Arabidopsis thaliana: one gene and its partner. The protein of the gene in region 2 interacts with the protein of the main gene of each other region in a pairwise test. Each region holds a gene or a part of one and is shown on either strand. Other genes may lie near its edges.

Evidence for each region. Proteins that work in one complex are often made in the same cells at the same time.
Region 1: the proteins of TOM1 (region 2) and TOM2A interact in a protein complementation assay, tested with the Arabidopsis thaliana proteins (one study listed by BioGRID).

The regions. Positions count from the first base shown.
Region 1 is NC_003070.9:11,688,513-11,693,472, reverse strand, and holds TOM2A (tobamovirus multiplication 2A), read left to right. Parts: upstream 1-1,884; 5' UTR 1,885-2,107; exon of another isoform or gene 2,108-2,516; 5' UTR 2,517-2,599; coding exon 2,600-2,838; intron 2,839-2,944; coding exon 2,945-3,044; intron 3,045-3,210; coding exon 3,211-3,291; intron 3,292-3,419; coding exon 3,420-3,524; intron 3,525-3,678; coding exon 3,679-3,888; intron 3,889-3,972; coding exon 3,973-4,080; 3' UTR 4,081-4,409; downstream 4,410-4,960.
Region 2 is NC_003075.7:11,567,665-11,573,119, forward strand, and holds TOM1 (tobamovirus multiplication 1), read left to right. Parts: upstream 1-1,859; 5' UTR 1,860-2,259; coding exon 2,260-2,418; intron 2,419-2,724; coding exon 2,725-2,815; intron 2,816-2,916; coding exon 2,917-2,969; intron 2,970-3,078; coding exon 3,079-3,171; intron 3,172-3,262; coding exon 3,263-3,334; intron 3,335-3,600; coding exon 3,601-3,673; intron 3,674-3,792; coding exon 3,793-3,838; intron 3,839-3,944; coding exon 3,945-4,008; intron 4,009-4,115; coding exon 4,116-4,169; intron 4,170-4,255; coding exon 4,256-4,333; intron 4,334-4,406; coding exon 4,407-4,499; 3' UTR 4,500-4,931; downstream 4,932-5,455.

The DNA.
Region 1 (4,960 bases), on a different chromosome or scaffold from region 2:
CATAACTAAGTTCTCTCATCTCGAGAGCTAACGCTTTATCATTTTGGTGTTTTAGGAACATCGGAGTGATTGTTACGTTTATTGATCGTTGATCGGAGAAGTGAAGTTGTTCAAATGAGAATCGGTGACTTTGATGTATTAATGTCCAACCCAAAATCTTAGTATTAACTCAAATTGGTACTTTTTAGTGTGTAAAGTAATCCCATTTACCTATTTATACTGATTTTTTTTATATAAAACAAACTTTTTTTGTTTATTTATGTTGTTGAGAGTGATTTTCCGACTACTAATCTGACTGCGTGTAAAGTAATCTGACTACTGATTTTTTTTATATAAAACAAACTTTTTTTGTTTATTTATGTTGTTGAGAGTGATTTTCCGACTACTAATCTGACTACTAATTTTTTGTAAAAATCTAAAAACCCAAAAACAATTCATAACTAAGTTCTCTCATCTCGAGAGCTAACGCTTTATCATTTTGGTGTTTTAGGAACATCGGAGTGATTGTTACGTTTATTGATCGTTGATCGGAGAAGTGAAGTTGTTCAAATGAGAATCGGTGACTTTGATGTATTAATGTCCAACCCAAAATCTTAGTATTAACTCAAATTGGTACTTTTTAGTGTGTAAAGTAATCCCATTTACCTATTTATACTGATTTTTTTTATATAAAACAAACTTTTTTTGTTTATTTATGTTGTTGAGAGTGATTTTCCGACTACTAATCTGACTGCGTGTAAAGTAATCTGACTACTGATTTTTTTTATATAAAACAAACTTTTTTTGTTTATTTATGTTGTTGAGAGTGATTTTCCGACTACTAATCTGACTGCGTGTAAAGTAATCTGACTACTGATTTTTTTTATATAAAACAAACTTTTTTTGTTTATTTATGTTGTTGAGAGTGATTTTCCGACTACTAATCTGACTACTAATTTTTTGTAAAAATCTAAAAACCCAAAAACAATTCATAACTAAGTTCTCTCATCTCGAGAGCTAACGCTTTATCATTTTGGTGTTTTAGGAACATCGGAGTGATTGTTACGTTTATTGATCGTTGATCGGAGAAGTGAAGTTGTTCAAATGAGAATCGGTGACTTTGATGTATTAATGTCCAACCCAAAATCTTAGTATTAACTCAAATTGGTACTTTTTAGTGTGTAAAGTAATCCCATTTACCTATTTATACTGATTTTTTTTATATAAAACAAACTTTTTTTGTTTATTTATGTTGTTGAGAGTGATTTTCCGAATAAAATTTTGTCAAAATCCTTCATACAATGTGATAATTTTTTTGGTTTTTCGAAATGATCATTATGAGATTATCAATTCTAACAATTAAACTTTGAAAACAACATTTTTATAAACCGAATTTCTAAATTATTTTTTGGATATTTTGACGGACAAGGTAATAAAAAATTGATAAGATATTTAACGCAGATCATAAACATACAAAATACGTTTTCTCGATAAAAATATTGTTTAACCCACAGAACAGTCTTGGTTCGTGAAAGCTCGTGACAATTTCGTAGGATAGACAAATCCTTTAAGCTGCCTTTTAGGCGATGAACAAAGCATTTTCATTTTCGTGTTAATTTCGCTCTATCATAGCTTCCTTTTGTAAACAAATCGAACGGACTACACAAATCTTCAATTATTTTCAGAAAAGATTTTATACGTAAATATTAAAAGTGCTTGTAAATTTAACTTCAAAAAAATAAAACTAAAGCTTTGTATTTTGTAATGTCTTGGAGTCTTTAGGACATATAGACATGTGTAGTACATTCCATTCCACACAAAACTAATTTTAATTGCCGACAGAAATCAGAAAGGATAAAGAATCTGTAAACTGAAATTATTCAACGACACACGTATTCGTAGTTGGGCTCCTGAAAAACTAAAATGGCCTATCTACCCATTGGACTTGTCACTTCATCTTCAAATTTAAATTGCCAGCTGGCATTTGTATGACACAGCAAAATTCCAAACAAATATTTTCCCATCCTTGGATTTTTCATCCCCTTCCTCTCGGCGACAAGAACAACAACAACACAAAAAAACTCAAAACCATCGCGAACATCGAAGAATCATCTCTCAACAATTCTCCGTAAGTTTCCATCATCTTCTTCTTCCACTCTCTCAATCTCGTGCTTCGATTGCGTAATTTCGATTTTGTTCTCCCGATCTGAACTTATTCGTTCGTAATTTTGTTCACGGAAAAAAAAATTGGTGGAATCATTTCTCTTAGATTACGAGATATCTCTGTGATTTGGTCGTTTTTTATGTCGATTAGAGAAAATTAATTGGTGTATCTCTCATTCTCAGCTCTATGAGAGGCTTGATTCGTGTGTATAGCAATTGAATTTGGGCAGGACATCACAATTTCATTGAAGTTTGATTTTTAGTCAAAATTCATTTCTTAGTTTTGATGATATTTTAGATAGAATCTTTATCATTGATCTATCTTTGGGATTGTTATTATGAACTCATTGAAATTTAGTTTTTTGTTCTTTTAGGATAATTCTTTGGACTGATGAATTAAAGGGAAACGCTGAGTGTAAATCATACAACAGTTCTAAGTCGTGAAAACAAAAAAAAGATGGCTTGTAGAGGTTGTTTGGAGTGTTTGTTGAAGTTACTCAACTTTCTCCTGGCTGTTGCTGGACTTGGCATGATTGGTTATGGTATCTATTTATTCGTTGAGTACAAGAGAGTTACCGATAATTCTGTTACATTCGATTTGACTAATGGAGATCAAAGTTACGTTTCGTTTGGGAGGCCTATTCTTATGGCTGTGTCACTGTCTTCTAATATCTTTGACAATCTTCCCAAAGCGTGGTATGTGATTATCGTCTTTTACTTTATATATTGGGTTCAAAAACAGAGTCTTGGTTTGTTGCACTTCTTTAGTTCTTATGTTCTTTGATTTTGTTTTATCATGCAGGTTCATATACTTGTTCATTGGTATTGGTGTGGCTCTCTTTGTTATTTCTTGCTGTGGCTGTGTTGGTACTTGTTCGAGGAGTGTCTGCTGCTTATCTTGCGTATCCTAATTACTTAACTTGCTTTTCTTATCCAACATTTCCTGTTAGATAAATACTGCCTTGACCTTTAGTTATATGCTCAGGTTATTGGTATCTTTGCTTAGTTATGATAGGATCCTTAAGCAAACTAAAAGTCTTAACCTTTCATTTCCTTAATTGAGAATAGTACTCTCTTCTTCTGATCTTGTTGATCTTGGTGGAGCTTGGATTCGCAGCATTTATTTTCTTCGATAACAGCTGGAGAGATGTGAGTTATCTTCTTTTTTTGTCTGTTTCCCTCTTGGGTTAGACTTCATGTTGCCTTATAACTTGACATGATCTGCAGACAGGACTGCACAAGTACTTAGCTAACCGTTTTGTATTATTGTTCTCTAGGAACTTCCTTCTGACAGGACTGGAAACTTCGATACGATATATAATTTCCTTAGAGAGAACTGGAAGATTGTAAGATGGGTAGCTCTAGGAGCAGTTGTTTTCGAGGTAATAGCAAGCACAAGTTCAGACTATCATTGAAAATCAAGAACAAACTATCTTTGAAAGATAAATATCCCTGCGGAAGTGTTTGTAGACTGTTGTATGGCAATAGAAACATGTCATCTTTAAAAACTCTTAATGATGTCTTGTTTACTCGCAGGCTTTACTCTTCTTGCTTGCCCTTATGGTCAGGGCAGCTAATACACCAGCAGAGTATGACAGTGATGATGAATATCTTGCTCCAAGGCAACAAATCAGGCAGCCATTCATCAACCGCCAAGCCGCCCCTGTCACTGGTGTCCCAGTTGCTCCTACTTTGGACCAACGCCCAAGCCGCAGTGACCCTTGGAGTGCACGTATGAGGGAAAAGGTAACAAGATTATAACGTGCTGAAATTAAAAAAAAGCATTAGTGCGATACCGAGATTCACTGATTGCTTTTTTTTTTGAAACAGTATGGGCTTGACACATCTGAGTTCACATACAATCCCTCAGAGTCACACCGGTTCCAGCAAATGCCAGCGCAACCAAACGAAGAAAAGGGCCGATGCACCATCATGTGAGTCCATTTTAAAAGTCTTGAAGAGTTCAGTTAATTCTCTTTTCCTGTGTCTTTATTATTTCTGCGTGTAACAATCAAGAGTGTCAGTAAAAGTAGGATTCTTGTTTCTGGGTTGATGATGACTCTAGCATTTGAGATCTCTAATCAACCTAGTCACGGTCTCAAAACTCATTTGTTGTGTCTGTGTAGTCTTTTGTAAGGATTCACCATTATGAATATTCATCTTGGTTCCCAGTCTGATCCAGTCCTATGTTTCTTATTATATATAAAAAATTCACTTTCTTCATGTTACACGCCCAGAATTTTCGCGTGCTCTACATTTTAGCCAATAATAATGCAGATTAAGTGCTATTTTAGAAACTTTAACATCCATATGAGAAAGTTGGGTATGAAGAAGATGCATAAGGTTTGCTCTGCTCATAGATCCTTTTTTTTTTTTTTGAATAAAATGTCAAATTATATTCAAAAGAAAAATATACTTTTTACATCAGCTTTTTTGAGATTTTGATAATAAAAGAAAACAGAACTAGAACAAAAACAGAGTAAATAGAATGGAGAGAGCAAAAACAGAGTCTTCTTTCTTGGAGGATGCTAAGGACGCATGGCGAACCATACTTGCAGCCCCTTTTCGAGTCGAAGTTCCCCTTTCTTTTGGATTGTCGATAGCTGGTTTCTAATTGTCTTGTCTATCTGTCGCATGAGGTTTGAAGCTGAACGTGACGCCTCACCGTGATTGAATGAATGGAGACTTGGAATGTGTACCTAGATAAGAAATTCTGGATGCAATCAGGCTGAGAATCAGATATGTAATTCACCACAGCAGACCAATCTGTGGAAAAACCATCTTTGTACACATTCTTTGCGATTGAAGTCCAGATTTC
Region 2 (5,455 bases):
AATGTCAATGAGCATATATTCGAACTTTTAAAATGAAAAAAGAAAAAAAAGTTTATGCTCAAGGAATTCCTTTTTCGTTTGATCCGGTCTGGTCTATATTCAAATTTGGATTCGGTTCTATTCCCGGTTTAAACGTGGTATATCGTCGAATACCTTTATATTCCACATATATATGGATCCTACGTAGCACAAGTCAAAAGTCAATCTTCAAATGCTCGAGTACTTTATTTTCAGGCCTCAACTTTGTTGATGCTAAAACAAAATTGTGCTTGTATATATTTTTTACTCTGAAACTGGTCTTGTTGGAACAGTGAACATGGATTTGAAGGTGACGTTATACAAAACTTGGACAAGAGCTCACATCTTGAATTCCAAAAAAGAGACGATGTTATCATATTTGTCACAGGTGACTAAGATTTTGCTCTTGGCTCTGTACGTAGTAGCCACCTGATTAATTCATCAACTAGAGTTTGAGAGCACACAACTCCAATATGGACCACTAATGAAAAGTTCCTTAGCTCTTGAATTCTGGTTATAAAAGATCTTGTTGAATTTTGTGGGTTTCTCAGTTGGTTAATGACTTCAACACGCTTATGGAGCTCGATACAAGGAGAGAAGAACCATTGCTTCGATTCCGAGATCATAGTGTTGGATACTTAATAATCTTCACACAGTCATGTACAACACATAGAATCCAGAGATCAATAAGAGAATGGAGCGAACGTATTTTGATGGCTGTTGAGTTCAACTACAGCAAACTCTTGCTGTCTCTATACAACAAGAACCCGTAGTTTGCGCTGCGGTGGTCTACAAAATTATGTCATGGCTTGGCCGTTTTCGGAATGCTAAAGATTTGTCTAGTTCTGACGAAATTTGAGGTGGAAAGTGATGATGAAGCCACATGGACGGTCAAAATCGAAATGATTGAAATTTTTGTTTATAATACACGTTCTACGTTTCTTTCATTAGATTCTTTGATGAATTCATCAGTTTTTGTTCGTTTCATTCTTTTGTTCCTTTTGTCGTAATTTTAAACGGAATAATACTATGATTTTATGAACCTTATATAACAACTAAAAGTGTCCGAACAAGCCCTTATTGACGCACACACGTTTTTATGTCTACAAAATTCCGGATATATCAAGCAAGTATCATCAACACGTCTCCAACACTCATACACGGTCAAGCCGCCTACCTAACTCACCTTGTTACAAAACAATATCTTATGGCATGTGTTACACGATTTCAAATATGTATATGAATAATTTATAATTCTTAAATCTTCATATTACTGAAATTAACTCGTTTTAACAGATTGAATGAAAATATATATTATCCTTCATTTGTATTCGTTTTTTTTTTGGTCACAATGACAATAATTCTACTATAAGAATATCGAAATATATATGGAGAATTCCTTAAAGATTAGATAGACCTACCAATTAAAAGCTGCTGGTACCACTAAGTTTTAGTTCGAACATTTGTATTAAACCCAACTCTACTCTTTTCGCATTTTCCATCTAGAATAACATCTAAAATATGTCTATAATATATTTTTATGGAAATAGATAAATAATTCATAATTATTATATGGTGACAAATCAAATTAAAAGACGTTTTGAAACTTCTTTTTTGACTAAACGAGCTCACAGTTCTCTTTCTCATCACATCTCTATCATTAGAAAAAAATATTGTTAATAATGTACATGTTTTTTTTTCTTTTTTTGGGGTCAAATTTGGATTCACTCAAAATAGTTAAAACATAGAATCCCATGTATCAAAAAAGAAAAAAATAACACCTAACCCTATAAATAAAAGATTTTATACAATAAAGATCTTATGTTTTTTTATCAGAGAAAAACATGTCTTGTTTTTATAATTCTGACTTCTTAGTAACAAATCATGCATATATGAAATTCAACAAATTTGAACCCAAAAATAGAGAGGTGAAATATTAAATGACCAAAACAAATGATAAAATAATTCAGAGGACGTGTGAGGGAACAAGCCAGAAGCTACACTATCGAAAAGATCGCATCAATCTCAACCGTTGGATCTTTCCTTCATCATCATCTCTCTCTCTCTCTTTCTCTTCCATCTGACCTGTGATGTGAGTTTGCAGATATTCAAACAACTCAATCCTCATTCCCTTTGTTTCGCCTCTCTGGATTTCGAAGAGCTGAGAGATTAGGGTTTCTCGATTTTCGAGATTAGAGTCTAATCCCCACCACCAGCATAGCTGATATCCTGGAGGAGAGAATGACGGATTCGGGTCTAATGATGCCGGCGGAGATTGCTGGAATTCTAACCACGGCGATTACGAGTTGGTGGGATGATGTTAATGAGTCAACTCAGTGGCAAGATGGGATCTTTTTCGCTCTTTGTGGTGCTTATGCTCTTGTTTCCGCCGTTGCTCTTGTATGGCTTTCAAATTTCTTCGTAATACATGAAATTTTTTGTTTGGGAGTGAAATTAGTTTTCTAAAAATGCTTGCTTTTAGGTTTATAGATCAATTTCTTAGCGTGTTTGACATATCTTTCCTCTTCTGTTTAACAAAAGAGGTGACCTTTGTTGTTGAGACATCGTTTTCTATCTAAATCATTGAGCTTTGAAATACTTACTCATTGTATAGTTTGATTGATTGTTTCTGTAGTTTATTTCTGGGTTTAGTTAGTTGTGTTGCAATTTCTGACCTTTTGTTTGAAATGGGATTATGATTGGTAGGTTCAACTGATAAGGATCCAAATGAGAGTGCCTGAGTATGGTTGGACTACTCAGAAGGTGTTTCATCTTATGAACTTTGTCGTCAATGGAGGTGATTATTGTGTGTTTCTATTGACCAATTGATAGGGTTTTTGTGTTTGTCAGCACCTTTGGGATTATGTTTTGTTGAATTTCTCTGTTGTGTGTGTGCAGTTCGTGCGGTTCTGTTTGGATTTCACATGCAAGTATTTCTTGTTCATCCCAAGGTGAGAGTGTTCTCAACTTAGTTCTGGTTTTTGCATGTTTGATTTGGAAATGGTGGATTTTGAAAGCTGCATCTTTTTAAGTATCTAATGTTTCTGTGAGGTAATGCAGGCTCTTTGCTGGGTACTATTGGATCTTCCTGGCCTTCTCTTTTTCTCGGCATACACGCTGCTTGTGCTGTTCTGGGCAGAGATATATCACCAGGTACCTAAAAAGAAATTTTTGATGTGTGTTGACTGTCTTTTAAACCTGCCAACAAGCTCTGAGTATATATTTTGTTGCCACTAATGAGCAGGCTAGAAGCTTACCTACAGATAAGCTGCGGATAACCTATATTTCTGTCAACGTGGCTGTATATTTGGCTCAGGTTCATATCTGATTTTTAGCTTCTTTTTTTTTTAATTCCCGTTTATGTTGTAGTTGCTGAGTTTCCTGAGATCCATTTATATACATCTTTTGCAATTATTGGTGTTTCGAAACTGTAGATTGTGCGTGTTTCCTACCTTGTCCTTCTTTCATTAACTCTGTAACCATTCTTTGCTACCAAGAATCTGTGTGACCTTAGTCACTAGACATTTTAGGTGAATCAAAAGATGTAGAATAAGTTTGACATGTATTTGATGTCTCTATCAGATTGGTATCTGGGCATACATCTGGGTACATGATAACAGCACTGTGGAGTTAGTTGGAAAGATATTTATCGCAGGTAGGTTCTTTGTCTGGTCAAGCAAGTTTGCTAAAACCTTTACTGCTTAATCTATAATATTCCCTCTCTTATCTAAAATCTATATTGACCTATTCTTTTGGTTAATCTTCTTCTTCTAGTTGTGTCTTTCATCGCCGCATTAGGCTTCTTGCTGTATGGAGGAAGGTCTGTGTTTTTGTTATTTTCATATGTCTCATCATCAAAATGTCTGCAAGTTCTTCATTGGCTTTACTGGGCCGTCTTTTCTTATGTGTTTTTTTTTATGCCATAGATTGTTTTTCATGCTAAGAAGGTTCCCTATCGAGTCAAAAGGAAGAAGGAAGAAACTCCACGAGGTACTTAGATTCATATATCTGTATGTGAATAATTTGTCTTATATAGTTCCATAAAACTTTGAACCCAAACATTTCTACCTTCAAATATTCGTCTCTTTTCATTGCAGGTTGGATCTGTGACAGCTATATGCTTCACCTGCTTCCTCATAAGATGCGTTGTGGTAAGCTCAAAATTAAATCTTTAGCTTCCGTCATTGTTTTAGTTATCCTGTGATGTGTTATTTAATGTATTCCATGCAAACATCAGGTGGCTGTATCAGCTTTTGACAAGGATTTAACACTTGATGTTCTTGATCATCCGGTTCTGAACTTAATCTACTATATGGTAAGTAACACTACATCTTCATTCTTTCTCTTTCTTATTCTCATTCATTAACTCGAAAAAAAAAAAACTACAGGTGGTAGAAGTACTTCCATCGGCACTAGTCCTCTTCATTCTCCGAAAGCTACCTCCAAAGAGAGTATCAGCTCAATACCATCCGATCCAGTAGAAACCTTTGTCACTGAACCATCTCACACGGTGAGTATGATGCTGTTTAAGAGAAGAGTAAAGATTAAAAAAAAAATTGGGGCAAAAAATGAAAGGTGAAGAAGAAATCGGTGTGGAATCTGCGTGAGTTTTTGGAATGCACGTTCATATAAATGATTTTACAGCTTTTAGTTGTTGTAGCCCGCCGTGACTTTTGGTTTGGTAGTTTATGTCTGTTAAAATTATAAATTGCTCTTCTGCTACTTTGAAAAATCTGGTCAGTAGTACAAGAGGTTTAACATTTGTTGCGTCGATGGTTGATTGTTATGTTATGTTTGGTAAAAAATAAACGAATGCTCTTCTCCAGTTTCCTTTATGCTTTTGTCAACTGTTACATCTTCTTCTCCTAATGATTTGTATATACTTAAGCTTTTCCATAAAACTAAGTCCCAGTGAAGAAAGAAACTACGTAAACCGAGAAAACCAAGCAAAAAGAGGGTTTACACAACATAAAATGATTAAATTGAGAATCATTTGCATTACCTCGGTATTACATGGGCTGGAAATAACTTATTGGGCCTTGGACCTGATTTTCCAAAAATGGTCGCTCACATTAATATTTATATGTGATTTTACAGTGACAACTCCACAAATCAGCCCTAACTCTGTTTTTGTTTTCTTCGACGACTGAGGTCTTTTCTCTCTCGCTCTCGTCTTCCTCTTGATTCTCTTCTTCTTTTCTGGAGTTTCGCTGCTTTTTTAGCCTGTAAAAATGACGAAAATTTTGTATGAATTTGTGTGCTGATATGCTCGAATCCACATGTTACGCTTGTGTTGAATAATCATATCATTTGGTTATCGAATCAATTCTAGTTCCAATTTACAAAAATCTATCAAACTCTTTACGTTTTCTGGAGTATGTTGAGCTTGAAACTAGTGACATAGATGAAACATTAAAAAAACATGGAATTGTTAAGT